Mytilus edulis: one gene and its partner. The protein of the gene in region 1 interacts with the protein of each later gene in a pairwise test. Links are inferred from orthologs where the notes say so. Each region holds a gene or a part of one and is shown on either strand. Other genes may lie near its edges.

Region 1 (17,240 bases):
TATCATAGGGAACATGTGTACTAAGTTTCAAGTTGATGTAACTTTAACTTCATCAAAAACTACCTTGACCAAAAACTATTACCTGAACTTTGCACTATCATTTTCTATGTTCAGTGGACCATGAAATTGGGGTCAAAACTATAATTTGGCATTAAAATTATAAAGATCCTATCATGGGGAACATGTGTATTAAGTTTCAAGTTGATTGGACTTCAGCTTCATCAAAAACTATCTCGACCAAAAACATTAACCGGACGGACAAACGGAGGCACAGACCAGAAAACATAATGCCCCTCTACTATAGTAGGTGGGGCATAAAAAGAATTTGTTTGTTTGCCCTAACCCTACCTACCCAGAACAAAGGTGCCTACTCAAAATCTTTTAACATGTTTAATGTCATGATTTTTTTACAAAGATAGGCATGAAGACTAAAGAACATCAGACAATTCATTTTATCTTTGCTGAAGAAAAAAAAATAAAATACCTACCTACCTACCCACAGTAGGGTTTGGGCAAACCAAAATATTTTTAAGTGTGGCCTTATATGATCATCTGAATGAGACTGACTGAGGAATCAGACAATATCTGTCTCAATTCTTCTAATCTCTCTCAAGGAAAATTTCTAAACAAATAAACAATTGTCAGAAACTAGTACATGAACACAATAATCCTAATACTGTAGATTCACAAATTATTATTAATTATTATCATTGCAATTCTGTCATTTTAGAATGAAATGCGATTTCAATTTTTACGGTTTTGAGAAAAGTCCTGTTTAATTCATATAAAATATTTCAAAATGCCAGTTTAAATTATTGCGTTCACAAGTTTCTCGCATTTTTCACAATAATAAAAACCTCGCAACAATTTCTGAATTTACAGTAATACTAAAGAGGGTCTGTATTGAGTTCCTTCATTTCTGTATTCTTTTTAACTTTTTTTCTGGTCATTTATCAACTCACTATTCTCTAATCTTTATTTTTTAAATCCCTTTTTGGATCAAATATCAGCTTTTTAAAAAGCTGTGTAATGTAACAATAGTAACAAACAACTGACCAACAGAGGAATGGGATAATATTAGTAATCTTGTTGTAATCAGAGGTGTGAAAAATTTTGACACCAGTTGGCCCAAGACCACAATTAATGATCCCGCTTTTCATTGTTCATGAAAATAGTTCCCTTTAAATACAGTGTATTTTTTCTTTATTTTTTTTCTTTCCCTTTCTCATATATTTCTTATTTTTTTTGGGGTGGAAATGAAAGAAGAGAGCTGAAATAAACTTTTGGATGTTTTATTTTAACCGATTTTGATATGGAAAGAGTGATTAGGCCAGGTGCAAAAAGGTAATATTTACAGTTTTCGGACATCTCTTGACTTGTCCATAGGGGTATGGATGTGTATTGACTAAATTTGTAAAATCTATACCAGCAACTTTTCTGAAACTTGGATATATTTTTGGACTTGTACAGTACATTACATTCACAAAAGATTTGACAAAAGACACAGGTAGATTTTTTTTAATGGGACAAAACGTTATAAAGAACTGATAGAAGAATTAATTGTGGTCTCGGGCCTAAGAGGTGCATTTCAGCAAATTTAGAATTTTTACTTTGACAGCTTCTCTGAATGATCTATTGGTATTAATTTGTCAAACTACATGAGAAGAAATGGAAATTTGTAAAAAAAAAGTCACTTTTCAGCTTATCTGCCCAAAATGTAGCTTTTTCACTTTTTTCAATATTTTTGCAAAAGCGGCATCATTACTTTTTCTTTGACAGGTGTTTTCTGATATCTATTAGTGTTTGTGATATTAATTTCAGTTGTTTTCTCATTTGTGAACTCTGAACACAAAGAAAAAGTAGATATACATAAACATAAAAAGAGTGCAAAGTGCTGTTTTAATGGTCTAAGTCTAACGGTCCGTATGAAGCAAGTGAAATGTGAAGCTCTATGCACTTAAAAAAATTGTATTCCTTAAACTGATTGCACTGAATCTATATCAAAAGCCCTTATTACTGGTTGTTGAACCTTGTCTGTTTCACAGACAACCTTTATTTTCTTCTGTTGGATGACTGATGGTTAAAATATTGTCCTTTTGAGGCCGAAATTTCATGCTGGTTTTAAACAGTAAAGTGAATAAACTTTACATCAGACCATACTATCTACATATATAGTTAAAAGCAGCAGTCTTGTTACATCCAGGCTTCATATTTGATCATATCTCAGCAAGGATTTGAGCAAAAAGAAGCCTATTTCCATCTCCCATTTCATTTATATGCAATTTAATATGAAAATATAGGGAACGGCCTAAATTGACAACTTGTTTTTTTAAGCTTGACATTGCTTAAGACCATGTCATTCTCATGTGTTATGCTACATTGTATTTGTAACTTATATTTACATAAAAAGAACATTTATGATATGTAGAAGGTTTTGATTTAACTAAACAATTTCAGAAAATTCTTGTAAGTAAAAATAAAATATTACATTTCATATATTATATTATAAAGTCTCGCTTCATTTGAAAACCTCTATTTTTTGGCACAGGGTCATATAAAATCAACTGTTGGTCCATTTTCTGATGCATTTAGTATGCTAAATATTTCTTTCAATAAATAATATCTTATACATTGAGACATTAAAAAGTGCAATTTATTGTTTTTGTGGCATTTTTGAAGCCAAAATTTGAAAGTTGAAATTGTTCTATTTCAACATCACAACTCAGCAACCAAAGTTGAGATATAAAAAATGCCACATTTTCTTTAATATATATCATATGGCTTTGAAACTTTGTAAACTGACTCATAATACACTAAGCTTAAATCATGCTAAGTTTTATTGGTATTGGTCAAGTATTTGGCCCCAAATAGGCCCAAGACCACAATTAATGACCCTGCTTTTCGTTGTTCACGAATATAGTTCCCTTTAATTACAGTGTATTTTTTCTTTATTTTTTTTTCTTTCCCTTTCTCATATATTTCTTAATTTTTTTGGGATGGAAATGAAAGAAGAGAGCTGAAATAAACTTTTGGATGCTTTATTTTAACTGATTTTAATATGGAAAGAGTGATTAAGCCAGGTGCAAAAAAGTAATATTTACAGTTTTCGGAACATCTCTCGACTTGTCCATAGGGGTATGGATGTGTATTGGCTAAATTTGCAAAATCTATACCAGCAATTTTTCTGAAACTTGGATATATTTTTGGACTTGTACAGTACATTACACTCACAAAAGATCTGACAAAAGACACAGGTAGATTTTTTTCAATGAGACAAATTATAAAGAACTGATAGAGGAATTAATTGTGGTCTCGGGCCAGTTTGTATTTCAAACTTATGTGACTTACTGGTACCCTTTAGATCTAACATTAACATCCATACCAGTTTGCTTTTCATACTTACTGGTACCCATTAGATCTAATATTATCATCCGTACCAGTTTGTATATGTATTTCATACTTACTGGTACCCATTAAATCTAATACATTGTATTAACATCCAGACCAGTTTGTATGAAATACTTACTGGTACCCATTAGATCTAATATTAACATTGGGACCAGTTTGTACATGTATTTCATACTTACTGGTACCCATTAAGTTTAATACTAATATCAAGACCTGTTTGTATTTCATACCTACCTGTTAAATCTAACATTAACGTCAAGCCCTGTTTGTAGTTTATGAATAACAGCCATGGCATCCTGCATGTTCTGTTCATAATTTAATTGCACAACCTCTGTAGCATTCTGAAATATAAACCAAAATGATAAATAAAAATTTTCAAAAATTCTAAATGACATCAAATGTAAATGTTCAAGTCATGAGGCAGAATAATTTCACGAATGAGCATTTACCAACTCTCATGTGCCAGGAAATTACATAATTAAAGGTTTAGAAATAAGATCCAGATGTAAACAAAATATATGAAATAATATCTTATTATTATATTATGAGATTTCATGTAATAGTTATGTAAGACACATGTTGTGTTAGGCTCTGATCCTGCCCATAAAGTTATAGTATGGTATTAGGTTTCTGTTTTGCTTTTTCCAATAATATTGTGCATAATATTGTTGTTAAATGATGCCCTTTATGGGTTCTTGATTAGATTAGATTGGTTATTCTCTCTCTAACATCAACTTGCCAAATAAATATGCCTGCTATGATATAACGTTTTCTCTTATTCTCAATGAATTTAACCAATTCTAACCTATTCAATAATTTTTTGTCAATTAACATGTTGATTTTATGTTGCTAGTTGGTTTTTTTGGAATGTTTTGATTTTTTTTCAAAATTGCCTGATTCTTTCTTTAGACTGGCAGTTAATATTTTACCTGTGGTTTATTGGCAAATATACATTCACCTAGATGTGCCATCATTTGTTCGGAGGAAATTATTTCAGTATCAGAACTAAATTTGATTTTTCCTTTTAATAATAAAACATTCATGATTGCCAACAATGGGCAAGGTCCATTTTCATTCTGTGTTATAATAGGTACTTCTTTTCCTTTGAACTTTGCCCATTTAATTTGATAAACACCCTCTAAAGATCCACAACTAGATTTGTCATCCATTGGAGATTGAGAACGCTCATTTTCACAATCTGTAGTTTCTGGTTTTAATGAGTCCTGTAATGTAGCACCATTATTTTTCTCTGATTCTGTTCTGTCCCCTTCTAAGGGAGGTAACTTCACAGACATTGTCTCTGAATTTGAAATTTCTGATTCTGAACTTTGAAATTTTGACAAATCTGAATATTTAGTATCTGACATCTGCGAGTCATTTTTAGAGTCTGACATCTCAGAGGTGTCTTTTTTCAAGGGAGGTAATTCCACTTTTAATTCCTCATTTCCAGACACTTCATTCTGTTTGCTGCTATTGTTTGTTTCTTTATCAATATCATTAGACTTTTCATTTCTTTTGGTAGATGGCAACGCCCATTTATCTGTTTCCATAGATTCTCCTGTTACACTGTCACTGTTTGAAACTGACTTATCTTCTCCTGGAGGAGTATAAACATCTGGTTGACTTTGATCCATTGTTGTGGTATCCCCTAAACACATTTCTTCTACATCATCAGATCCTGAAAAGTAAATATGTTTTTTCAAGTTTCAAACAGTTACAAGATAGAAATATAAGATAACAGTTCACACTCAGCAGTCACCTTCGTTTAGTTTGTCAAAATGAAATATGGCTTAAAAAAATTGCTGACATATTATTAACTTGCAAGACAATAACTAACCCTAATTTGTATTTGTACTCTGTATTTTGATTGGTTGTTTTGGACATGTGGTCAACAAGTCTAGTTATTCTGTTATTGAAAACTGTATTACCTGAAAATTGAAAATAGGGAACTAATTTCATTATTTGTGTGGGCCTGCAAAAAATAATCATTCTTATACAGTTTAACAATGATGTAACCAATAATTTAATTTTTATTTATGATATGAAATCAAGCAAGGGAAAACTTTTACCCCTGCTAATAATTTATATCTGTCTATATTTTCCTACAAAATGTGCATTGCATTTATATTAATTTTGGGTTCACCGGTTCACACGTCCATTGTCAATCTTTTGAGATCTTGCAATTGGCTAGCTATGACCAATTAGATATACAATCTCAAAATAATTTAATATAAATAATTTAAGATAAAATAGTTTCAGAATCATATTTCGTTCTGGTTTTAGTTTTGTAGAATATTCCTTTCCATGAAATAAACATAAATTAGTAATTGACACATGATTGAGGTCAAGACTCTAATTAATTTGGCAATTTAGCATTATATAAGAAAGATCATGTCATAGGGAACCTGAAGCGCACTTTCATTTTCTACGTTCAGTGGACTGTGAAAAGGGGATCAAAACTCTAATTTGGCATTAAATTAAGAACGATCATACATGTATCATAGGGAAACATGTGTACTAAGTTTCAAGTTGATTGGACTTCAACTGTATCAAAAACTACCTTGACCAAAAACTTTAACCAAGAACCTAAAGTGGTCCAGACTGACGAAAGGAAAGATGCACACATCAAAAAACATAATGCCCCTAAGTGGGGCATAAAAAAATCAACTTTAAATTGGTCTATAATTTTAAAAAAGTATAGTGGTATCATAAGTGGTATCCTAGTGTTATCAGTTCTCGATAGTGTAACACATTTTTGCTCCATAGGGCCAGTTCTTCAAAAAATGTTGTTAAAGCTGATTGTGTTAATTTAGTAGATACTTTTATTCATTTCCTATTATCCTCACAATTTTCTCTAGTGTAATTCAAGAAAAAATCAAAACATTTGTTGTTGTGCTCAATTTTGACATTGTGTCAGAACAATACGTCATTGATCAGTTCTCGATAGTTGTGAAAAGTATAGTATGGTGAGCATGTTTCACTTTGATATGAATAGAAGATTTCAAATTACGCAAATTGAAGAAAAGTATCAATTCACTATCATTTGTCTCTAGAAAACATATTTTTTTATGAACTTTTAGCCTTATCGATCAATTAAGGCATCTTTAACTGATATCCAAGGAATCATCACTAAAGGTCAAAAAAATGCATTGAATATTAATTTTAGATGATTTTAAATTATTGAACCAATCCTTATTTATCATTAGATGTTGTCACAGCTGTTATAAATATTTTTTGTCACAGTAACAATTTCATAAACAATATTTAAGGGCATTACTTTTCCGATAATCTAATTGAATTAATTTTATAGTTGATAAGATATGGCACAAACTGCGTTCCATAGAATTTTTTCCATAGCGACGTCACACCAGGCTTAAGGTAGCACAATACAAAGATTTTGTCACTCCTAATCAGACAACTTTAAACTGATGTAATTCATTTTATCCGTCTTTATATTTTATAAATGAGGTACCAAAAGAAGGAAGAAAGATTAATCTTTCAAATTGTGATAATTTCATTATGACATAATTATTACATAATTAATTATTATGTAATTAGTTGCTATATTGTGATGTCCACACTTGAATGAATTTAGCTTCTTTGTTCTTCATAGCATCCCAAAATATTTTATAGATTCTTGTACAACACAGCTTGACCTCCAAAACTGTGTCTCAGATTTCCAAAAACATCAATAGAACAAATTTTATACCCAATTGAATTTAGTGGTCTCTTATGATTTCATGTTGCAAACTTCATTGAAGATTTATGAGAGAATGAAATACAATAGGAAAAATCTGAGACACAGTTTTGGAGGTCAAACTGTGTTGTGCAAGAATCTATAAAATATTTTGGGATGCTATGAAAAACAAAGAAGCTAAATTCATTCAAGTATAGACATCACAATATGGCAACTAATTACATAACAATTAATGATGTAATAATTATGTCATAATGAAATTATCACAATTTGAAAGATTAATCCTTCTTCTTTCTTTTGGTACCTCATTTATAAAATTCAAAGAAAGATGAGTGGAATTACATCAGTTTAAAGATGTATGATTGGGGATGAAAAATCTTTGTATTGTGCTACCTTAAATTAAAATATTGTTTGTTTGCCCTTTACCGACCAACCCTATAAATTCGTTCCGCCTGAAAATCTTTAATTTGCATTTACCAGCAAGATTTTATTTTATTTTTTCGTCCTACCAAAAATCTTATATTTGTATTTCCCGCTCAAAACTTTTTTACCGGAATCCTCGGGTTTCATCTTTATCGTATAAGGTCAAGTCCGTTTGGTATCACGTGAGGGTTTGACATGCACACTTGCATATAGCATGCATAGAGTTTCAAAGCATTTGTTTGAAATCGATGTTAAACGCTTTGAAATAATGATATGACGTACGTTAACTCTGCATCTTTTTACTTGAAGAGCAGGGTTCATTTACAAAAAAGTTTGTTTAATAAAAAATTATTAACGTCTGTACAAACTATTTTGTGTAAACGGACGTTGTATTTTATGTAGGGATGGCCTTTTGTGATCCGTAGATTAGGATGATTATCATGGTTAACGATGCCTTCGACCAGCATTGCCATATTATTTATATCTGACATGAACCAAAGGTGACAAAAGCCTGTAAAGTGGAGAATATTTGGCAGTAAAATCACCAAAGTTTTCCATACAAATCATTTATAAATGCGATGTAAAATACGTGACAATTGAGTTCAAGTTTTGTAGCATTTTTATTGGAAACATGGGCACACACGGAAATTTAAACACTCTAGGGACTTTTTCTTATAGTAATGTATGTCTGCCCGGACATATTTAACCTGGACAAAGTAATCTCTTACAGAAAACCTTTAGGTAGAGGTAAGCACACAAGGTATGTAGTACAGAATATTAGTGCAATTTAAATCTCTTCAAAGTTACAGGCATAAATGAACGTTGAAAATATGCGACACAGCTCTTTATTTTGATATTTGAAAACAAAATAGTAGTGCAAAAAAAAAGCCATATGAATTAACTTCACATTCTACATGATATTTTTTTTTTCAAAACGTTGTCCCACAAACTTATAAGCAAATGCAAAACAGACAAAAAATGACATTATGCAGATTTTGTATCTATAAAATAAAATATTATACCTACCTGCCTACCCATGTAAAAAAATATACAGAGTCAAGTAATTTTTTTGGGGAAAAAAATAAAATATTTTACCTACCTACCTACCCTGTTTCAAAACATAGGGTCGGAAAAGGGCAAACAAACAATATTTTAATTTAGGCCCCAATTCTTACAATTGTGTATTACGTATGTGGACTTATCCTTCTTTTCGAGCTAAGTTTTGTTTACATTTGAAACTATGCTATTTATGAACCGAGGGGATGAAGTTGGGGTTGTTTTGGGGATAACGTAAAGTAGGCTAAAATCGGAAAATATTATCTTTACTGTTATAAATGTCATAAATCTTGAAATGTTGAAATTAATGATTGCTTGAAGCAAGTTTTTATTCTCAATCTGTCCTTAAAATACCGTCATGCAGGTGCGATTTCGCGAACCTACTTTTATTTTAACTATGCACATTGCTATCTAGAACTGATTAGTAATGAAAACATATGACTTCACGATATCATAAGTTAAGATTAAGGAGCTTTGTATCACTTACATACATATGTTGTTTTAAACAAAAATAGAAAACTCGTCATTTTAATTTTAGATGGTAACCACAACATGACAGGGTATTCATGTTGGTTACAAAACTAAAAATGACAAGTGTTTTACTAACATATACTTTTTGGCATGCAATTTTTAAAAAGTGCATGAAGATCTAAATTTTGACAAAAATTGGCAAAAAGTCCATATGTGTGGTTTCACTTTATTTTTTGCAACATTTGGCTTTTTTTTAAAAGACAATAACAAAAGTTTTGTGTCTGTTTTCTGTATAAAAAATGATGTTCTATTTCAGTGATAAAGCCAAAAGTTATGCTAAATCGTGGCATGACTTACCAGGGTTTGACGATGCGTCATCAATTCGAGTAATTACAGCATTGATTTCACCAGAATCGGTTTTATTTGAATTGCTGGTATTGACATTTAAATCGGCGATAATATTGTCGTTTGCAGACATGATAGCAAAATTAGTGCAAGCAGGTTATTACACAATGTTCTTTTTTTGTGTTGCTTTTTGCTTCAACTGTAAACAACTCTCGCCATTTTTCTCGCCACACTTAACCTCGACTCTAATACTACAAATTTTCCCAGGGGTTCAATGAGGGATAAATTTGCTCATAGAATATAATAAATTTGTAGTGACATGTGTTTGGGCGTTTTTTCCCAAGAAAATGTTCACAGTCGTTCCGTTCTCTTGGTTTAAAGGTCTTAAATTGTATACTTATTGGCCCACTGAGTACTTTCAAACAACTCAGAAGAATAAGAGGTACAAAATAGGGCATGCCCATTGACAACAAATATGCGCCATCTTGCAAAGTTCTGAAACTTGGGTCCCACTTGCATTTCATCTTATTATTCCGTTGCTTTAACTTATATAACATCTAAATTAATGCAGGACACTGATGGATTGAATATACTTTGGAATATTGATATGCTATAAAAGCATCAACCTAGATTTTTTTTGGTATTGTTAAAGTTGAATGAACTTTCCTGAAGTTTTGACCTCTTGATCCAGGACAGCATCAGTAACTGTCGGTGAGTAGTTTTAAAGCTTGAAAGCATTTAATTATTTTCTTGAAAAAAATAATAATAAAGTTTAAAAACACCGGTAATGTATAAATCTATTAAATTAAATGTCAATATAAGTATGTACAATTTTAAAGATTTAACTACGCTTGAAAAGGTGGTTGGGTTCAGAATTTCTTCCATATGAAAGCTGGTCATCAAATTTTTGGATCTTTAATGTTGGATACTAGATGGATTCTGGTAAGCCTGGATGTTGGCTCACTTGGGAACTTCTGAAAGTGGGTCAACAGGTCAAAATATTCAACTGTAATTTGTTCAAGTGGAAAACTATCCAGTCAGTATCAGCTTAATCGCACACTGCACTATACTGCAAATAGCGTTGTTTGTGGCATCTATCACGCTGCATTCGATGGTGCACCAGTGAAGTTTGCAAATTTGTGACTGTCCTAGATTGAATGATGCCGTGGGAACACCTGCTAGAATCGTAAAGTCAACAGCCAATCGGCACGCGACGTTCTCTGTAATTGGCTGTTTAATTTAATGCACCTACTTTCTTACAGAAGGCTTATCATGCCGGAATTTGCTATTTTAATTTGATTTGATGGAATATTTTATTTATATAATGAATAATTGATAATGAAATATTTATTGCAAAAGTTTATCACGTATAGAACGTAACCAAAAACTATTTTAATCTCCATATGGTCCCTTTTCTAAAAGTGGATAAGGGGGAGTGGATTGTAACAGCCCTTGATCATTGTTCTCACGATCAAAGATGCAAATGTGTTTTCCCACGGGTCTTCTAGGTTATTTACAACTTGAATCTGGCTCTTTTTAGGAGTAAAACAAAAAGCAGTGGTAACTCATTGCAAATGAAAGGATACGTATTATAGATGAGCTTGTTATGTTGACTCGTGTTATATATCAAATTTGGACAAGTGCTCAGAATTATAATGCAGTTAACACCTGACTGATTGATTTCTTTTTGAACATTTTCCGATATTTTCAAGATGAATAATCAACAGTTATATGTTTCCCAGGTGAGTCTACAATCATTATGTTCAATTTTATTTGTCTGACGAAGAGAAATAATACGATTTGATATATTGTGCAATATTTTATCATTTCATCAAAAGTTTTCTTTATATTGGAAATGATCACCAGAGTTGTTTTGACCTTTAGAAGTTGACCTCACAGACACCGCTAATGAGTTTACACTCGTGGGAATTTTTCCCACGGTTTTGTATACTTTGTAACAAGTGGTTGATATTTACATGATTAATCATCAACAATTTAAAAGATTGTTTACTTAAATTAAAGGCTGAATTTTAAAGTTTAAATACAAAGGCAATTTTATTTTCAATAGAATAGTTGGACAAATAAAATTTGTTTGCCAAGTCATGCAGTTTTCACAGGAGCTTACAAATTTATAAAATATTAAAAACTTGCATGTATAATTCTGATGAATTAAAATGTAAGAATGTTCTTGTAAGTTTTATGTAAGAAGAAACTTAATAAAAAATGCACACTGTTATTATAAAATATGCAAACTGTTCACATCTTTAGCTAGTGTTATTTTAGTTTGAGGTCACCAAAAAAATAATGCACTGGTGATCTTTTGCTGAAATGAGTGAAAAAAATGGTTTTAAGGTTTATTCACTCCTTTAGATTGTGTACAACTCACACATTTGCAACTCATTCCGCTTGTACCCTATTATTGTCTTGCTACAACTAAAGTTGCAGAAAGCCAAACATACATGTATGGATAGATTTTTCGAAGAAAATGAAGAAAATTGTCATCTTTTTCAACAATTTTTTCAGAGTTTTGTACTCGAGTAAATTTGATAGGAACTATTATCACATGTCGACATCATTATATTTATAAAGTTGCTTAAAATTTACTATCAGTATATTGATGACTACTTCAAGACCCTGTACCGTAGGTTATCATGGTCATGGTTTAGCAACTTTTGAATTAATAATCAATTTTCAATATTAAGTTAGTTTGATAGGAACTTCTTGTCATAGAACATTGATATCTATAATACTAAAATTACGAGGTCCAATTTGTCAGCCGTCATCGGGTAAAAACGACAAATCAAAGAATTCAACTCTATATATAACTAATATAGGACAATGGTGTAGATTAAAAATTACACCACTCCAGACCCTTTTGTTTTCCACATAATTATAAATATTGCCAATAATTAACAAGTTCCGGGTCTAATCCGATACCGATACCAATAGTATATATTCACCTGTTAGATATTACCTTATCTGTACGTTCCGCATTTGACAGGCGCACCACCAAACGGTGTATTTAGGATTTTGCTATATACACGGGTCATAATCAAAGGGCTGACACTACTAAATTCAATTGCCAATGAGACAGAAGAGATCAAATTAGAAAGATGTACAACAACACAACAGAACCAACTGTAAATTAAAAAATCAATTGGAAATGGCTTGATTCCTCAGATGTAAGAAGTACATGTTCTATCAAAAAGACAAAAGATGCAAAGTACACGTATGAAAGAGTACTTACATACATGTATAGTTGATGAAAGCTAATTACATGTAGTCAAAGTTAATTTCAACTTATTAATATCAAGGATTCTCCTGACTTAAACTAAAAATAAGACTGTTTAAATAAAAAAGTATGTTAATTACAATTGCGGAGGGTATAATGTTTTTGACCCTTTCGTCCGTCAGTCCTGTTTCTTGTCATCACAACTCCTCTCAAACCACACAACCGAATTTCACAAAATCTTTTTATATGAAAAGGACATATTATGTAGTTGTGCATATCGACAGGAAATTACGATTCAATTTTATTTTTAGGAGTTACGCCCCTTTGAACTTATTTGCTTCAATGTACTACTGCAACAGTTTGTCATCGCAACTCCTCTGAAACTACATAACAGAATTTCATGAAACCTTTTCAGATAATAAGGACATACTATGTAGATGTGCATATCGACCGGAAATCACGATTCAATTTTTTTCTAGGAGTTACATGTACGCCTCTTTGAACTTATTTGCTTTAAGATACTACATGTTGTACTTCAACAGTTTGTCATCTCAACTCTTCTGAAACCACAGAACAGAATTTCATGAAACTTTGTAGATAATAAGGACATACTACGTAGATGTGCATATCGACAGAAAATTACGATTCAATTTTATTTTTAGGAGTTACGCCCCTTTGAACTTATTTGCTTCAATGTACTACTGCAACAGTTTGTCATCGCAACTCCTCTGAAACTACATAACAGAATTTCATGAAACCTTTTCAGATAATAAGGACATACTATGTAGATGTGCATATCGACAGGAAATCACGATTCAATTTTTTTCTAGGAGTTACATGTACGCCTCTTTGAACTTATTTGCTTTAAGATACATTATGTACTACATGTTGTACTTCAACAGTTTGTCATCTCAACTCTTCTGAAACCACAGAACAGAATTTCATGAAACTTTGTAGATAATAAGGACATACTACGTAGATGTGCATATCAACAGGAAATTACAATTCAATTTTTTTCTAGGAGTTATGCCCCTTTGAACTTATTTGCTTCAATGTACTACTGCAACAGTTTGTCATCGCAACTCCTCTGAAACTACATAACAGAATTTCATGAAACCTTTTCAGATAATAAGGACATACTATGTAGATGTGCATATCGACAGGAAATCACGATTCAATTTTTTTCTAGGAGTTACATGTACGCCTCTTTGAACTTATTTGCTTTAAGATACATTATGTACTACATGTTGTACTTCAACAGTTTGTCATCTCAACTCTTCTGAAACCACAGAACAGAATTTCATGAAACTTTGTAGATAATAAGGACATACTACGTAGATGTGCATATCAACAGGAAATTACAATTCAATTTTTTTCTAGGAGTTATGCCCCTTTGAACTTATTTGCTTCAATGTACTTCTGCAACAGTTTGTCATCTCAACTCCTCTGAAAACACACAACAGAATTTCATGAAATTTTGTAGATAATAAGGACATACTATGGAGATGTGTATATTGACAGGAAATTATTATTCAGTATTTTTTCTTATACAATTTTTTTTTCTTATACTTATTTAATTTCTCCAATGACAATGTGGGGACGTGGGGTATGTGAGCGTCCTCACTAAGGTTCTTTAATTTGTACATGAACATGTATCTAGTATTACAAAATGTATGAAGGTTGTAGCCCTTAAGTCGCAAGCTTGCATGAGCCTTGGCCCTTGGGTAGATTATACACATTGTTTAATCATGTTTAATGTTATATCTGTTAGGCAGGCTATGGATACACAATAGAAGCATTGGCAGACCCACATTATGAACACTGCACACCTCAGGCCCAAAATGGACACAGTGGACATTTTACTGATGCAAGATACATGTTACAAAATGATGAAAATTTGTATCAGGGACAAGAAAACGTCTGTTCGACACGTAGAAACCTAAATGGTCATATGGCTCAAGGCGGGTATGAAAATCCCGTAGACTTGTCTAGTAAATTGATCAATGTGAATGGTTATATTAAGAGTGAATCTGTGCAAAATGGAGGATATCAACGAGAAAGGACACCCATTATGGGCAGTCATAGGGAACAAGGTCAGTTAAACTCCTTATTGTTATCCATTGTACATTTTGTTATAAATCATAAAAACAGGACCTTATATCATCAAATGGAAGTTTTTAGTGACGTTGACTGGCTATACAGCCCTTGCACCGTTGGTGGACCTTATATAATCTAGTTCAGGAAAGTTTATCCATGAAATGCCTCATTTCAAAAAACTGAAATGATTTTTGGTGTGAAGATTGAAAAAAATGCTTTTTAATCCCTACCACCACAATTGTCTTGCTTTTGATTCATACACTTTTTATTCTCTTCAAACAAGCATTTACACAAGTTGCATAAAGTTTCCACAATATTCAAGAATCTATGTTCTAGCTAAACAGTTATAAGCCAAGGGAGATAACTGAAAAATGTAACCTATTATTATTTTTGTAAAGAATAAAACATAATTGGTCAGTTCATGGTACATTTGTAATTGGATATTTAATATTTCTTTTGTGAATAGTTGACATTTTTCACAGTCTCAAATATGCAGAATAAATTTAAAATATTTAAAATAGTCTTCTAATTGTGGATTTACATTGCTAGTGCTGCATATTCATTGCAAGGCCAAGAGAAACCAACCTTGTCAATGCATCTTATTACTTTTTGGAGATCATATGCTTCCATTAATTTTTTTTTCTTTTTTTTTTCTTATCTTATTGAAGGGTTTATGAGATTCAAACACAAGTAAATTTCTGTTGCTTCTAAGTTTTAGTTAAAAATGTAATGCAAGTGTTAATAGTACAAGTGACATGATAGTCACGACAGAGTATTAAGTGTACATTATGTAATTTAGATGGAATGTTTCAAATCTTCATGAGAACTTAAATAAGGCACAAAATATTAATGGATTAAATAGTAACTCCCTGAAATGATCCAGTTCATTGATGCACTGTAATTGATTTTTATCATCCCAATAAAATGCTTTGAAAGATCACACTGCTTGATGCATATTTTAATCTGTATATCCAATGATTAGACTTTTTCATTTAAACTTATGTACATGTACTAATGTATACATTAGTTGCTTGTAACCATGCAAATCCATTCATTTTGTAGTACCAGTTCTTTTAAAGAACAAATGTCTAATAGTTTCTATAGATTGCCTTAATCTTTTATAAAACTGTTTCATTATGATTTGTTGATGTCCTGATAAGGCCAAACAAAATAATATGTGTGTTTTCTATTACCATGATTACATCTTTAAAAAAAAAATTGAGTAGTTACAAACAATGTAGGTAGGTAGAGTTTTTTTTTAATTTTGTTTTATTGCAGTCTATATATGGAAGAGAAATTCTGACTTTAACAGTGCTTATTGAAAAAATGAAATTTTATTTAGGGTAGGCTATTTCTATGCTTAAAAAATAGAGGAGGTGGAGTAATAGGAAACACATCTTTTATATTTGGCCTAAATATATTTCTGTGGGTTAAATGACCATTAATCTATAAGGGATGTAAACAGAAGTATTGATAGCGATTGGAAATCAAACAAGCACTGCCTTATTTTACACAATTAAATTAACAAGCAGAAATTGATTAATTTAACAAATAGTTGAAGGTTCTTTGTAGAATAGGATCATTATAAGCATGATTTAGGCCAAATCAGTTGACAATATCCGACAAGATATCAAGTTTCTCTTTGATAATTTGTTTCATAGGTTTAAATAGTTTCTTGAACATCATGTAAATTGGATGGCTACAATGTACATGTATGTTAGTTTTGTCAGTTGTTTCTGCTTAATTTTCTGTTATTTAAACTGTTCATAAATGATAGTTGTAGCAGAATTTATGAAGTAATTTTTACGTGAGGAAGAATGTATTGGATGTTTAGCTTAACTGCAAAAGCCACTGTATACTATCTCTGCAGTCATGTTTTAAAATGGTGGACGATTACATTTTTTAAGAGTTATGCCCCATGGAAATATTAAATTTATTGAAAGTGGCCAAGTTAACTCTCATGAGTACAATTCTTGTAAGATTTTTATAAAACTTATACTGTAGGTTAATATCAGCAACATCTTGGACAAGTTCTTAAATGGTGGACGATCAACTTTTTAAAGAGTTATGCCCCTTCGGAAATATTAAATAAGTGCAATATGCGGTGGACATTGGAACTCTGTTTTATTTTTGTGGAGAAATTGGGAGTATCTTGAGAAAATGAACCACTGACCTTTTACAGGAAGACTGACTACCCTTATCAAAATTGAGATCTTGAATGTGGATGTTACTAAGTGAGATAAAAAGTGATGTCATACGTATACTCACAATATCAAATATGATCCCTAGATGTACTTATAACTTTCAAATGCTTCAAAATGGTTTCAATAAAATGTTTACAAAAAGAAGATTTTTAGGCTAAAAATGTGACTATGTTTATTTTGTGAGACAATTATGTATACCCAAAAAAATCAGAATTCAAAATGGTGGCTCTGTTAGTTCCAGAAAGTAGTAAATGTTGGCCCCATTGCCAGCAATGCTATTTTTATCAATCATCTCCTTAAATGGCGT
Region 2 (16,870 bases), on another chromosome or scaffold:
TCTCAGGGGTCAAGTTTAGAACTTTGTATTGAAACAAACCTTTATAATCTGTAACTGTACACCTTCATCTGTCTGTGGTCCATGGAAACATCCACAAATCGTCTCTACAATGCGATCTATCAACCTTTTACCAGGAGAAGTAGTATCTACGGCATTTCCAGTCAGATGACCATAGGCAATTAGTTTCTGTAATCATTAACAGTAATACAATTCAATTTCAAATGCCTGGCTCAAAAGGAAACCAAGAAATAGTGTATAATTATGTCTATCATCAGTTGAACAAAATGCTTATTATTAGTAGAACCTTTGTTACAAAATATAGTTCATTTTCATCTCAGAAAAATATTTACATAAGTGAAAAGTTACTTCTTTCCAAGGCTTCCAAAACGGTCATATATTCCGGTCATTTGTATAATGTCCGGTAAAAGTCCGGTTGGGCAAAGCATGAAACGGTCATATACTTTTTAGTTTTCAAGGCTTTTTCGGTCATTTTATACATGATCTTTTTGACCCAAACTTTTTGCCATTAACATAAACACATTTCCGGTCATAAATGTGACATGATGATTAATTACTATCAAAACAACACCTAATCCAATACTTTCTAATTTTAATCAAGGCTAATTAGTAGTTGGACAGCTGAAATCTACCTGTTCAGGTGACAGGTGAACTATGTTCAGTACCAGACATCGTATAAATTGATCGGTCTATTCACAATTTTTTTCTTACTTTTCAGCGGTTTGTTTCTTATTGATTTAGTCCAAAAGATTAAAATTATTAGAAATTAGTTTATCAACATGATTTGATGAAAAATTTAAAAAGGTTTTAAATGAAAAATCGTCAGAACTACGTCGTATGAACTAGAACATGTGTGCGCATGTGCACAGGTGGGAAATTTAATTATGCATCCTACATTTCTTCAAAAATGCTAAAATTATCATCGATACCTGTATCTAACGTTCATTTCAAGTATTTTGTTGAAGAAATAACATGGAAAGAGCTTCTTCACTTAGTCGTGCTTTGTAAACATTCAGGGATTTTACGTATCCGTTTATGGTCCATGTTTTACCATTGTCAAGTCAACATCCGGTTAGAACAATGTGAAAACGAAACTAAAGATTTGACAATGTCATTTTGCACAAATAAAAAGTCTAAGGCAGATATGAGCAAGCTGATGTGCACACTTTGAATGATGCACTGCCAATTTAACAGTTACATCCGAACATCAAATTCATATCATATCAAAGTAAAGTTTAAAATCGTTTTTTTTTATGCAATGTCAATCATTGGAATGGCCATCTGATTACCATAATTGCCTTTGTGACCAAGTCTTAAGGAATTAAAATCGGAATCAGATATGAAATGTCCGGCTGGCTCAAATATTTTTTGGAAGCCCTGCTTCTTTCCTCCATTAAATTTCTTAGAATTATGTCACTTTTGCATAGTAACAACTGAAACATTTGACTTTGGGATAAAATTTCAAATGACTGGAACAAGTGCCAAAACCCCTGTTATACTAACGCAGTCAACTTCTGAAGGATTTAAAAAATAATCATGAGAGCTTTACATCTCACAATCCTAAAAGGATTTGGCAGAAAATATCAAATTCAAAGTATATTGGTGTGTCACATGGCAATGAAGAAAAAATAAAACAAGAGAGAACTTCTCTGTGTGCTTTTTTCATGAAACAAAACTTTTTGTCAGCAATAAAAATGGTGAATAATTCTCACAATATTGTACAGAATGCTAGCTTACCTGTAAGCAGTCTAGTGCTACATTTACAATCCTGAAGCATTTGGATTGACATGCTAGTTCAAATGGTAAGAAGTATTTATCTGCTTCCACAAAACCAGCTTGTTTAGGTGTAGGTAACGCTGATGATGACTGGTCTTCACTAAAATATAAACAACAACTTATATTTTTGAACAATGTTTCAAGTTTCTCTTTGTTTTTTTAATCATACTTATTATACATACATCTATATGAATTTTATGGTAATAAAAACTTTTGTCACTGAATTCTAAACTATAAGTGATTTTTTTTATGATTTATTAATTTTGTAGATTTCTTGAGGAAAATTTCGCAACAATATACAATGAATATGTTTAGTGTGAATATCAAAACTGCATAATTATTATTTTGCAAACAACAAAAACTTGTACTGTCCTTTTCCATTGTTTTCCGCATATCTAGCAAACCATTTCTTGATTCCTGATATCTTCACCCCACTCCCCATGGAAAAACAACCTTTCAAAACCCAGCAATATCTGTTCTATGTGTTTAAATGCAGAATATAATATGTATGATGCAGTCAAAGACCATTTTAGTCTTTAAATGGTAATATACAAATAAATAAAACTTGCAAGTCTTTGAGGCACAAGATATTGGCAAATGGCAATAAAAGTAATTACAATAACATAAAAACTTAATTAATGTTACCTTTGAACACTGCTTTCTTTCTTTAGTTGATCTGAAACATAAATAGAACATTAAAAGTAATTGTCATCACATTCTTATATAGATTAATATTCTGAAAATCAGAATGTTTTAATGTATGCTCTTGAGTAGCAAGAACTGCAAGTGAAAGAAAAGTACTTCAAAAAAACTTGTTTTTCTTAGAAATAACATGGGACCAATTTCTAATGTCAATGCTTTGCCTCTTTTTTATAGAAATAAATTGTCCGCCTTTAAATTTCTTTATTTATAATCATCGACTATGTAAATATGGAATATTGCTGATAAGAAAAGAGACTGTTGTGAACACTCAGGCAACAAAATATTGCTTTTGACAGTAGGAAAAGTGAATGTAGTGACAGACGGGAAAGCGATTTCCATCTCCAAGTTGCGAGGTAGCACCAGCCTTGAGCCACAACCAGACAAGCCAAATTTGCATACAAGTGTAAATACGTCTATAGGCCAGTTCCGGGATACGGTTTTCAGACGAATCTGTCATGTGACTTCCATCACCACTTGACAAAAATGTATGCATAGAAATTTCAAACATGTTGAGCAAACGGGTAAAAAAAAATTATTTTATTCTGCACAAAATATTTTGGAAATTAAAAATCCTCCCTCATTCATACAGCAATCACGATTATGTACTTACGGAACATTAATTATTTCTATACTACCCTACAGACTGACGTTTATGAAAGTGCTGGAAACTTTTAATAGAACAGGGATACAGGCGCGCCTTCTATCTGGTAAATGACGTCATTAAGGTGTTCGAAATTGACGATCTTTTCCGGTGAAAGACATGATTCCAGATATGACCTATTGATCAACATGATCAGAAGTACATGATGATGTCACAGACAAGTAAAATCCTATGACTTATTAGGTAGCACCTGCCTCAAATAAAAAATAAATGGTATTTATGGGATATCATTTTGGTAAATTTTCTTCAATTGGTCAGAAATACTGGGTTCAAAACAAAATTTGCCTGTAGTGTATACATTTTTTTTGTACACTCACATCTGTCATCAGACATCACTCATCAGACAGACTATAAAACCTTTGCTATGCATAAAATTACGGATAATTTTTTTTCAACCATCATAACAAATAAGCATCGTAGACGTTAAATGACCCGAAATAGAATTCATGATGTGATTCACTTACCTAGTGCCACCTCACAGGCTTTTTTCAGTTGGGAGTGATGAGCTTTTTTTATTTCTTTGTCGCTCAAGATTTTCTCGAGAGCTCTTGTAAGGAACATTTCGTTTGGCCTGTTGCCTTTACGCATTATGCCAATCAATCGACATATCAAATAGAAAGGTTAAGTTATTTCTGTTGATGAACAAATGTTTCGTTGGAATACGGAACACCTGTAACAGTTGTCCACCATTCAAATCACGTGACCAAATGCCGACGATATATTCTGGTACCCTTTTCAGTCCAAAATAGATTAAGTTATTTACAGAATATGTCCGTACAGAACTATATAAGGAATGTCTAATAACATAAAACACATATAAAGGACAACATACAACAACTAATGTTATTTTTTTTAAATGAAAATCCCACCGGATACGTTTCAAACTATTTGTAAAAACGGCACGAGAGAGAGAATATAAAGATTCTATCACTGCATCAAAATTATTCATAAAACAGAAGGTGTACTAAAACTTAAACAAAAACTTAAATCCAAGGATTTGTATAGTAAGACTTACTATACAAATCCTTGTTAAATCAAAGTAGCAGGACCAGATCATAAATAATTTAAACCAGAGACATATATACACATGTATATATGTCTCTGTTTAAACCAAGACTTAAAAAAGAACTTTCACATAATTTGCACCGATACTTACCATCATGATGTGTGAAGTCAGTTAAAACAAAATTTGTTCCAGGCAGAGACATAGTCGAGTCACAGGGGTCAGATCTTGGACACGGTCTTTTCCTGCACTACATAAACGATATCCCAACTGGTCTTACAGTGCGGTTATTTGCAGATGACACCATAGTTAAATTGGAAATGAAATTCTGATGCATCTCTATTACAAAAAGATCTTGACAAATTGACATCATGGGAAACTACGTGGAAAATGGCATTCCACCCAGACAAATGTAATGTTATTTCAGTAACCAGAAATTAAAAAAAACCGTGACAAAAAAACAGTCATTATTCTACAGTCATTCTTTAGAACATGTAACAACAACAAAATATCTAGGGGTAACCACCTGCCTGCATTTCATGTAAATAACTTGAACTAATACTAGCTAGTAACATGATGAAACACCGTCTTGAAACAAATAAAATACTAAATGAACTACAACACGGACCCAGAGCAAAAAGATCATGTGAATCATAATTAATATCTCTTATACACCAAACTAGCTCAAAACAATGATAGAAATATACAAACTAATCTAGTAATTGTGGATTTTTTCAAAGCATTTGATAAAGTGCCACACACACACTTACTTTACAGATTAAACACTATAATACGACATTTCAGATCAACCAACTCAATGGATTAAATCATTTCTCAAACAGTCACTAAATATGCTTCTAATATTGCCAGTATGGCAGAACTTGGTCGTTATCCAATCTCTATATTTGTTATTTTGCAGTCTCTTAAATACTGGCTATATTTGTATAAAGACCCTCTTTTGAATTTTTCAAAATTAGCATATAAGTCAATCGAAGATGTTGATTGTACCTTTCCATGTACCTTAAATAAACACATTTTTCAGTTTCTAAAATTCATTCGTTTTGACCATGTTTGGAATAATAAAGGAACTATGTCAGAAGGAAAACTCATATCTGCAGTGAAAACGATATTACAAGAAAGATATGGCAATTATTTTTTCTCATGTTTGTCAGGTGAAAAGCAAAACAAACTACGCACATATTACAAGTTAAAAAGGAATATAAACCTGAGACTTATACAAAGTTAAATATCTCGAAACTATATATTAGACAATTATGTAAAATTAAGAATTTCTAACCACAATTTACACATTGAAAAAGGCAGATATAATGATACACCTTTGGATCAAAGAATATGTAAACATTGTATTGATAACAAAATTGAAGATGAGTTTCATTTTATATGTGAATGCAACCTCTATCAAGACGAGAGAGAAAGGTTTTATGATGACATTGTCAATATCATACCATGTTTTTGTAATTTAGATAATTTTGATAAATTTAAATATTTAATGAACTGTTCGGAGACTGGTGTTCTCAACAGATTTCTTATATATATAGACTAAAATTGAGAATGGAAATGGGGAATGTATTTTGATTAGATATTCTTCAGTGGGAATAATTTCATAATATTGAAGTGTGAGTTTTGTCTCTTGCTTATTATAAGTGTCAAAATTGTTGGCTGTTATGTTTTATTGTTGTTTTGTTTTGTATATGTTTTTATATGTGTTCATGTGTTTCAGCCGATGATCCTTTTGTACTGGATTTTATACTGAATAAAATTAGTTAGTTAGTTAGTTAGTTACTCAAAAACTCAACATCTGAAAAAAAATCCAATACATTATTCTCATTTGTATTAACGACTTACCTGACTACATAAAACACAGCCAGATAAGACTCTAAGCAGATGACAGGATTATTTACCGGCCTATTACTTGCCAAAACGATTGAATAAAGCTTCAGGAAGACCGTGAAAGTAACAGCTATAAAATGGGAGAAAGACTGGCTCATGTCATTTCACATGGACAAATGTTAATGGTCAGAGTATGTTTGACTGAAATAAAAACTCATCAAAGATATTTGTTGTAACATGTGTAATAAAGTATTGATTTGCTTAAGTTGGGTTTCCTAGTTATCCGGAGAAATCCGGAGTAAATTTTTTATAAAGATATATATAAGGGTCTAGATGAGGTTCTTCTTCTTCTTCCAGGTAAGGAACCGGATAATTCTGGCTTTTATTCAACAGACAAGAGAGACCTATTGACCATGTTGACGGTGTTTGAGAGCTGCCGCCGTGAATCTCTCAACCGTATTTGGGCCTCGATTTGCGCATACAATATTGTCTTTCAGTTGGTTCCAATGTATTATGCTCTTGACAAAACTCGAAAACTAATTAAAGTTTAAGTTTATAATTTGTACAAATCAGATATTATTTAATGAATGGCTATTATCCATTTTGAATTTATTGAACCATAAAACTAATTTTTGACTCTTCACATTGAATAATCCGCGAAGCGGATTATGTAAAATGTGAAGAGTCAAAAATTAGTTTTATGGTTCAATAAAATCAAAATAAATTATTGCCATTCATTATAAATAAATTTCTATAAAAAAAAATTAGGCTCAAAGAACTCTTTATATTAACAATAACAACGTACACACATGGCGTATGAATACACAATGTCAGAGTGGGCGTGTCACCATGAAAATTGACAACATTGAAAATAAAACTAATAATTTTAACCAATCAGAAGACAGTAAAAACACCAAATTTATTTATATACAGACTCTATTAGCAATAACTTTATATATACTAACTCTCACGTGCCTAGGAAATTACATTATTAAAGGTTTAGAAATAAGATCCAGATGTAAACAAAATATATGAAATAATATAATATTTTATTGTTATAACATTTAATATAATAGTTATATAAGACACATGTTGTGTCAGGCTCTGATCCTGTCAATAACGTTATAGTATGGTATTAGTTTTCTGTTTTGCTTTTTCCAATCATATTGTGTTGTAAAATGATGCCCTTTATGGGTTCTTGATTAGATTAATAAAATTCTTATCTTATCTTATCTTATATACAATGTAGGCAACTGACACTCCTCATAAAAAAAATAAAAATACATTTGTGTCTGTATTTTTATCTGTATTTTATTTTTCATTTACATGTTGTACTGTTAAATCAATCATCCTTAATCAGAACGATAGTTAGACATACGACATAAAGCTTTATTTAGAGTCGGTATAAGCAAGCAATTACAATAAAGATCTGAAGAGCTTTTAAAACCGACATAACAACAAGTAAAACAAAACATACATATCGAGTCATGCACACAAACATTAAACATATAAAGCAAGAGTTCATATCAGTATATAAACATGCAGCACAAAAGTTTGTTAAGCATCTTATAAGTTAAACACATACTGATACATGCAATTATGAGATAAAAACACAAAAGCACAAATAAAATGGTTGTATGTGTGAGTGTAACACTATGCGAGTGGGAGAGAAAGGCTTTTTATTTTTACTGTATATGATTACATGCTTGTTATGAGCCCTATGATTAGGAAATAAAATATCTTTATCTTTTATACCCATGTGATGTGATTGTCCAAACTTTACGAAGGGATTAACTGTCAAATTAATTCAGAATGACACATTCTTTTGTTATATTTCGTTGTGGCGATTTGTTGTTTGAAATAATGGTAGTTTAACTTTATCTTAAATGGTATCATAAGAAAACAATCTCAATAGACATTAATTCACATACCGTATAACGTACGGAAATCAGAAATATACAATTTTGAACCAGTATGTTGTGACTTTTGTATGGTTCCTTGTTTCTGAATTGACATCAGAATCCAGAATCAAGAATCTTAAAAAAAATAATCATGGATGCGAAAAATGCATTTAAAACTTGGGAAATGTCAAACAATGTTGAGAACGTTAACAGTATGGACGAAATATACAGATACGACAAGAGACAACAACAAGATATTCTTACAGCAAAGCCATGGGATAAAGAGTAATTGTCAATAGTCTGTTAAAAATTCTTCAAGTCAGCCAGTAATAGTTTATTAAACTGTGGAAATTTTAGTGATGAACAATGCAGATTTAATCATAAACATGCTGATATTCATCTCTTTTTCAATTTCAGAATAATTTGATTTTAGATATATATAAACATGATAAAACCATACTTTGAATGAAAATCATAAAGCTTCCTAAAAACTTGCTAGTGTCTTATTTTCCTTACACTCTATATATATCATGTATATATAGACTGCATAACAGAATGGACCTTATGGGTTTTTTTTCGGGAATCTGCGACACTTGACCTGAGAATATTGGTGACACTTAAACTATTATCAGGATTAAACGCCTTTTTAAAGGAATTTATTGGTGTATAAACTTGACCAATTCACTCACAAACAATGATATGTTTGTATTAAGGTGTATTATAGTGTTAAGCAGTCATTCCCAAAAAATGGGTACAATTACAAAATTTCAGTGTCGCCGGCAAATAACCACAAAATGCAAGCTTAACATATGTCACAGATAATCTTTTTCGTGTTCTAAGTGATTAATATGTATACTAAAATAAAATCATATTCTTTTGTGATGTATATCAGAAATATATTTGTGTGATTTTCTATTCAATATACGGAAATCACACGAATTCCGAATGTCGCCAAGAAAAACTCCAAATATCGGTGTGAATTAAAATACTTTATTTCATCTAAATCATGATTAGATTTGCTTTTTTTATTTGACACTATATTGATTTTTATCCACAAAAATATTTTAGAATCAAAAGTTATAATATACACTTTGATTTACCCATTAAACCAATGTCGCCGATAAACGTATAACCTACCGTAACGAATCTTTAGGTACAGTCAAAACATATTTATATGATTGGAAATCATGCCCAAAGTGACTTTAAGCAAAGTTGATACATCAAATTTTAAAATCCTGCCTTTAACTTTTAGTGCAATGAAACGAAAAATTAAAAAAAATCTTCTCTTTCTCTTTTTTTCGATTGTCGCATATAAGAATCCAACCTACGTAACGCGTATTTTGGAACGCACTTACCAAGAACAAATCAAAATGATGATTATTTCATTGAAAGCACCCATAAAGCTTCTCAATAATCAGTTTTGAGAAAGCAACTCAACAATATTGTTACATATTTCCATGTATAATGTAAATAAAACTAACCTCCGTTTAAATAACCTCCGTGACGCAGTTATTTACAGTTAAGTTGTCAGACTTTTTTATCAGTATCAGCGGCTGCCGACACTGCCGAAAGTCATTTTTGTAGCAGACATCATTTATTATAAAGAAAACAGACAAACAAAATACAGATTTTGAGAAAAAAAATGTTGTTTTGAGAAAGGTAGGTTAACTTGTTTTTTCCCTATTATGTGAACAACATTATAACGTTTAATAAACGTTATATCAGCCATTTTCTTAGATTTAAAATAGTCTACAACACAATTTGTGTAATTACGACGACAATCATAACTTTAACAGCGGTTTATGGCAAACATTTTCAAGATTATTTAGGACTCATCAATGTAACGGAGGTTATGCAAATAAAAAAATCTAAAGATGCATGTAAACACGATCATACCAATTGAAATTCTTCTACATTGTTATAGATACCAAATCAGTTCATCAATTATCACTAATAAATATCAAAAGGTGATGTCAATCATATCTACGACATCATTGATTTACGTTACGGAGGATAGAAATTTAAGGAAAAAAAGTTTTTTTTCTCTAACAGGACTTTTCTCTTTTTAGATAACGATTTACTAAGAAAAATGTTTAATTCTGTTGTCTTGTTTGTCATTTAATTCCAATATTTACATTCATTTATATGTTTGCTGTTGGTAAGAACTGGAATTGTCCGTTATGGAGGTTTTAAATGTCGTTACGGAGGATAGAAATTTTCGAAATGAAACTATTTTGACTCCAAAACTTCATAGTTGAGTATAATACATACATTATGGTGTGAAGGAAGATGACATTATCTGTATAGAGCTAATAAATTAAGTTGAAAAATATTCGGTTTAGGTAAAACATATTTTTGAGTGAAAGTTCATGAATCGTTACGGAGATTTTGACAAGAACAAGTTCATTTGACTAAAAGAAACATATAACTTGATAGAAAACAGTTTTTTTAGTTTGAAATGTCAATAAATTGTTTAGAAAAGCTAGCATTAAAGAGTTAAGTGTTACTATGTATCAGCATTCAGATACTGGTTTGATATCAACCTCCGTAACAAAGATGGGGGTGTGGATTAATACAAGCATAAAAAATACATACAAGTGATTCAAAACATAAATAATAGGGTTTTTCCTGGAAAGCTGTATTATGAAACTAAAATATTATACAGCATAACATTTCATTAGTTTAAATTTATTACTAAATAAGTTGTGAAAACTACTTATTTGAATTATTTTTTAAACACTATATTAATTCAGACCTTAAAATTGGTATATATATACAGAATAATACGTATAAATCAGTTTGCTATGGTGGTAAACGTAACCCATTTCACATGAGCCTGGATTTAAATCTTGTGTTTTTCTCTAATACAATTTTTAAGATGACTTTATACAACACTAACCTCCGATACGTTCATACTTACCTTGTCTTACAAAAAATGCTAAAACTAGAAAACAACTAAAATGGTGTAAGTAAAAATTAAAAAAATGACAGACTAGATATAGACACAGAAGAAAACAACACTCTCTCTCTGCTCAGTTGAAATTTATTTTTTAACAGTGTCTACATTCGAATTGTACCCATTTTTTGGGAATGACTGTAAGGTGTATTATAAACATTTGGAATGTTTTTGTTGACATTTTTGTGTGAGACCTTATAACTCTTGTGTTAACCTGATTACATAATATTGTTCAGGATTTAACCAAGAAGACAATAATGTAGAGTATTTTCCATTAAATGTATAACTAAATGTAACAATGTCATTATGATTGGTTTTGTAATGTCATTACATCAATGACCAAGTAAAATACTGAATTTGTCATTGTTTGTGGAATTAGGAATAAAATTCATAGTTATTTTATATATTTAAATAAAAAAATAGAATATTATTTTAAAGAGATACATTGTTCAAAATACAGACTTTGTTCTCTTTCACATGAAGCACACACATTGTTCAAAATACAGACTTCGTTCACTTTCACATGAAGCATGCTGCACCTCACTCATATTGCTTGCTAACAATAAGCTATTTAAAACTTTTAATTACATTTTAAAAAGCAATTGACTACTGATAACTGACAAAAAGGAGCATATTTGGAGTTCTTGCTTATAATGTGTAAAGAAATGAAAGTCATATTTTTTATTTATTTTGACAAGAAATGCCACGAATGAAAAATTTTGTTTGATTTCCTATTTTCATATGTGCATATGAGTAAGCTTTTGATTCAGGTTGCAAATGTTTCAAATGCTATAGGAATATATTTTTATCAGATGCAGAATTGTCAAGTGTAGACTAGAAAATGTGAGACAGATAAAATTTGAAATTGGCAACATAGCCCTGGCAGTGACAGTGTGGCCTCTGAAAATAATTTGTAGTGTTTCAGTCAGAGATATCCACCTCAGTGCATAGTGTTTTTTTCATATTTTTAATTCAACCAATTCACTGTGTACTGTTTCTGGTGTCGGCAGTGTCAACAATTGTTTGTGATATTTGGTATACAGTTTTATTAGTTTCAGCATATTTCATTTCCATAGATATTATTTGACCCTGCCTTCCCAGTTATTGTTCATCATGTTCATTGACTTTAAATAAATTTCAGAATTTCCAATATACATTTGTACTATCAAAATTACACACAGGCAAGACATATCTCTGTGTCAACATTATACTGAAATAAATCAGCAGATCAAAAGCCCTATATACTAGGGTAATCCTCAAGGTACCAGTCATTCAAACAATTATACTGCATCTTATTTTATAATGTAAATGGTCCAACACAAGTCCTCAACATGTTTATAAAAGAATACAAGTTAACATTATAAATGTCTACCTACCTTTTTTATTTTCAGTCCACACTACTTCAAACACATCAAAGTTTCAGCCCTAGCTTTACTTAAAATGGTGATGCATGCCCGGTCAGGAGGTAATCTTGAAATCATGGGCCTCCTGCTGGGGAAAGTAGATGGCAGCACAATGATTGTAATGGACAGTTTTGCACTGCCTGTAGAAGGGACAGAAACCAGAGTTAATGCCCAGTCACAAGCCTATGAATACATGGCTGCTTACACAGAATCTGCTAAACAGGTAACCAATAATAAGGATGTTGCTTTTATTTGACCATGTGACAATATGAACTCTTTGGGATATTTGCTTTGATCTTGATCATTAACCCAAAAAACTTCCACATTGGGACTAGCACATGATATTATACAATATAAATATATGAGAAAAGCTATAATAGTTACCTACCTGTGTTCTGTAAATGAGGTTATTGTACATTGTTTGGTGATGGTCTGTCAGTCTTTTATGTTGATCTCCAATTCTATTCCATGTTGCTCTATATAGTTTTATTGCTTATGTTAATTTGTGATAAGGTTTTTTGAATTTTAACTTTTAATTCAGGAATCAAATTATTAATTGGACAAAAGTAAAAATAACATTTGGACCTTGGTTCTCTAATTTGTATAGATAAAATCCATATATATATATATATATAATCTTTGATTTTAAACTGCTTTTAACGGTCTAATTTTAATATTGCATCTTTGGAAATTTATTGAACAACCCTAAGAGATCTAGAGTTGCAGATAGTTTTAATAACAGGCAATAAATGAACAATATTTTGATATTTCAATGTGTATAAAGTTGCAACTCAGTTAAGGGTGTTTCAAAATATTCTGTAAGATCCTTAAAGTAGTCATGGTAGTTATGTTATATATTTGATTGTATACATTACAGGTTGGGAGATTAGAGAATGCTGTAGGATGGTATCACAGCCATCCAGGATATGGTTGTTGGTTATCTGGTATAGACGTCAGTACACAGATGTTGAATCAACAGTTTCAGGAACCTTTTGTTGCTATTGTGGTAACATCATTATTTTAATTACCTTCATCCTATAAAAAAAACCTTTGGGACTTGCATCCTGACTGTGATGATAGTTACCATTGATGTGCTACATTTTTCTTTTTGGCAGGATTGTTATATATTTTATTCTGTGCAAGTACCTTTGTATAAAATATTATTGTGCCAACTTTTATGTGAAAACTGAATAGTATCATATATATTCAGTATTCATGATCTATATTTGTTAATATATTGAATATCATATAAAACATATAGTTTTCCTAAAGTTTTGATTGTATTTCTTAAAATCCGATTTTCATAAAATCAGCTTTGAAAATAATCAATATATAGCTAGATGATTAGTGGTTTGCTCTTTTGAAGATTTTAAACATATAAAAGAAAGGTTCCAAAACATCTCCATCTCATTAAATAAATGCATCAATCCCTAAAGTGTTGTTGTAACTGCTTTCACATAAGATAAACCATATAGGCTGTAATACACACCAACACATGCTATTGCACACACTTATAGCTGTAATACACACAAACACATACTATTGCACACAATTATATCTGTAATACACACAAACACATACTATTGCACACACTTCAAACTACAAAACACCTATGGTTTTGTGACAAAGGTAACCAATTATAATTACAATGAGTTTACAAATTATGAGAAAGCAAACTTGTGACTGATTCTCATCTTTATTTATTTCAACAGATAGATCCAGTTAGAACTATTTCAGCAGGAAAAGTCAACATTGGTGCATTCAGGACATACCCAAAGGTAATACTTAATTGTCATAAACAAATATTTTATCGTTATTGAAAATAAATACATACTCAGTATAATGATCATATTCCTAAAAAAGACTATTTTCAGGTTGAATGTACTGTAGACAATGTGAGATGATATGAAATAAAGACGCAAAGTGTAGATTTTCATTTAACCTGCAATTGTGCTAAAACAAAAAGAAATATTTTGAAAATATATATTCATAATAAGACACTAAAAGATAGGTACATATGTATATTTTTTTAATATCATAAGAATTGTTAGTCTAACTATGCTTTGTGATGTTTGAATGACAAATGCAACCTAGGAAAAAAAATCAGTAACAAAACAAAACTATTGAAAAAAGTGTTAACAAGAATGCAATGCTCTTTTGTATCAAGAATTAATGAATAGAAAATAGAAAATTTAAACAGATTCAAATGATTTGAAATAAAATTTTGTTATTTTACATGTTCAAAGAGGTAATAATGTTGTTCGTGAAATTTCATATTGTCAATATTTTATAAAACGTTTTTGATTTTGTGTTCCCCTTACAAATTTTTCACTTATTAATTGATTTGTCTTTTTTCAGGGTTATAAGCCACCAGATGAAGGTCCATCTGAATACCAGTCTATACCGCTCAGTAAAATAGAAGATTTTGGTGTACACTGTAAACAGTAAGTTGCTACTATGTATCTTAAAATTTTTGAAAAGTATTTTTTCAATCTGCTCAAAAGAAAAGGTATATTGGTTGACCTCTGTTTATCCTTTTGTTAGATATACATTTCTGTCACATTTTCTCAGCAAACATATGTCATAGGTTCTTGATATATGACACCAATCTTAATCTGTTTATGCCATGCCATGTGATACATTTTCAGTTACTTCAATATGCCGCTTCCTTTTTGCCTGAAACTTGTATCTTTAAAATGTCATGCACATACATGAAATTTAGTTCACACTTTTCTCAGCAATAACAAGTTATACATTCTTTATATATGCAGGGGTATAATTTTATTATCTTACAGTACATCTTGTTTGAAAAAAAAGATGTAGTTACAAGAATAGGAGAAAATTGGAATTAAGCTCTTTTTGTATATCTGACAAAGTTTTCTTTGATGACAAATTTTCAAAAGCATGTTTAATCCATTATATTTTATCAAACTGTCTTCATCAGCAATGTGAAGAGAGGAATAACAATTTTATGATTATATGAAAAGTTGTTCTAAAATCTTGAAAGGTTATAATTTAGAACTTCTCTTAAGTTCAAATTCTAGTGTGTCACAATTATCTAAAAAAAAAAAATCGTTTTATAAGGAAGTACACAGATATCTTTGTCACAATATGTTTTAAATTATCTTTATACAAAGTTTATTTTTAATTTCAGGTATTTTTCATTAGATATTTCCTACTTCAAATCATCATTAGATAGAAAGTTATTAGAGTCACTGTGGAATAAATACTGGGTTAATACACTCAGTTCTTCAAGTCTTCTCACAGTAAGTTGCATTTAAATGTTATCATAAACTGAGTGTGTCCTTAATTGCAATGTCACTTTTATTATTCAAGTGTGTTGTTATTTTCCTGCTAAAGAGGAGAGTTATATTGTTTTACCTCTGTCTTATCGTCTTTCCGTACTGACCTTCCATTTGTACTTCTGACCCACGAAATTGTCACATTTTTCTCAGGAACCAAAAATTAGAGCTTCCTTTAATTTGCTATCAATTTTGAAAATTTGTCAGTTCAAAATACATTATCATTAGTCCAATTTTCGTTTGTGTGAGACATTCGGACTGACTAGGTTACAACATAACAAATTTTTACCTGTCTAATTTCATTTTTTAAAAATCATGATTAATATCAAAATTACCATTATCACATGATAACAGTTAATATCTATTTTAAATAGAATAGTGAATATACCACAGGACAGGTGTTTGACTTGGCTGATAAATTAGAGCAATCAGAGGCACAGTTAGGGAGAGGAGGGTTCATGTTAGGGATGGAGAATCATGAAAGGAAATCTGAAGATAAACTGGCAAAGGCAACAAAGGATGGGTATGTAATATTATAAAGCATTACTTTTATGTTTACTTCTATTAATGTTAAAGATTCACCATCCTATAAAAGAAACCCTTTGGGACTCTCATCCTGACTGTGATGATAGTTATCCATTGATGTGCCATATTTTTTGGCTAGATTGTAAAATAATTTATTCTGTTTTAGTATCTTTATATAAAATATTATTGTGCAAACTTTTATGACCACACTGTAGTTGAAGGGGCATTCAGTTTTACCCTTGTCCATCTGTACTTCTGTTTTTACATCAGTTTGTCCATTTGTTCTGAAATTTGTTAACACTCTCTTACTTTTGTTACCCTCTATCAATTGTTGTGAATCTTATACACAATGCTTAATACCACAGAACACAGATCAAGTTTGAATTTGGGTGACCTCACTTTTACCTTTCTAGAATTATGCCCCTTTAGTCTTTACAAAAGGAAAAATTGCAGAATTTTTTGTTTCTGTAATTTAAGTTTGATTCAATGGAATGTTATGAAACTTATACACAATGCTTATTACAACAAAACTCAGATCAAGAATGAATTTTTTACTGTTCTTGAGTTATGTCCGTTTATTATGTTATATGCTAGGGGGAACATCATCTGTGTCCAATTCTTCATTTATTTTTTTAAATCAGATTGGCAGAGCCAGATTATAGTATTTAGAATAACTTGTTATTCATGATCAAAAATGTCATATTTGACAATTCCTGTATGTAGTCCTAACATTATGATGTCCCTTTTAACAATTGGGATATTTAATCCTATG

The links.
Region 2: the proteins of recombining binding protein suppressor of hairless-like (region 1) and COP9 signalosome complex subunit 5 interact in a two-hybrid assay, tested with the Caenorhabditis elegans proteins (3 studies listed by BioGRID). The link is inferred for Mytilus edulis from reciprocal best matches to the Caenorhabditis elegans genes lag-1 and csn-5.

What each region holds. Positions count from the first base shown.
Region 1 is NC_092350.1:41,714,280-41,731,519, reverse strand, and holds the start of recombining binding protein suppressor of hairless-like, read left to right. Parts: upstream 1-10,650; 5' UTR 10,651-11,112; coding exon 11,113-11,142; intron 11,143-14,403; coding exon 14,404-14,725; intron 14,726-17,240. Other genes in the region: ubiquitin carboxyl-terminal hydrolase MINDY-1-like, read right to left, coding at 3,643-3,749, 4,338-5,086, 9,413-9,533. UniProt on the Caenorhabditis elegans protein: Transcriptional regulator that plays a central role in lin-12/Notch and glp-1/Notch signaling pathways, involved in cell-cell communication that regulate a broad spectrum of cell-fate determinations.
Region 2 is NC_092344.1:10,556,271-10,573,140, forward strand, and holds the start of COP9 signalosome complex subunit 5, read left to right. Parts: upstream 1-7,952; 5' UTR 7,953-8,063; coding exon 8,064-8,197; intron 8,198-12,259; coding exon 12,260-12,494; intron 12,495-13,148; coding exon 13,149-13,277; intron 13,278-13,983; coding exon 13,984-14,049; intron 14,050-14,629; coding exon 14,630-14,715; intron 14,716-15,425; coding exon 15,426-15,537; intron 15,538-15,947; coding exon 15,948-16,096; intron 16,097-16,870. Other genes in the region: brefeldin A-inhibited guanine nucleotide-exchange protein 1-like, read right to left, coding at 40-186, 1,756-1,894, 2,440-2,470, 3,622-3,745. UniProt on the Caenorhabditis elegans protein: Probable protease subunit of the COP9 signalosome complex (CSN), a complex involved in various cellular and developmental processes.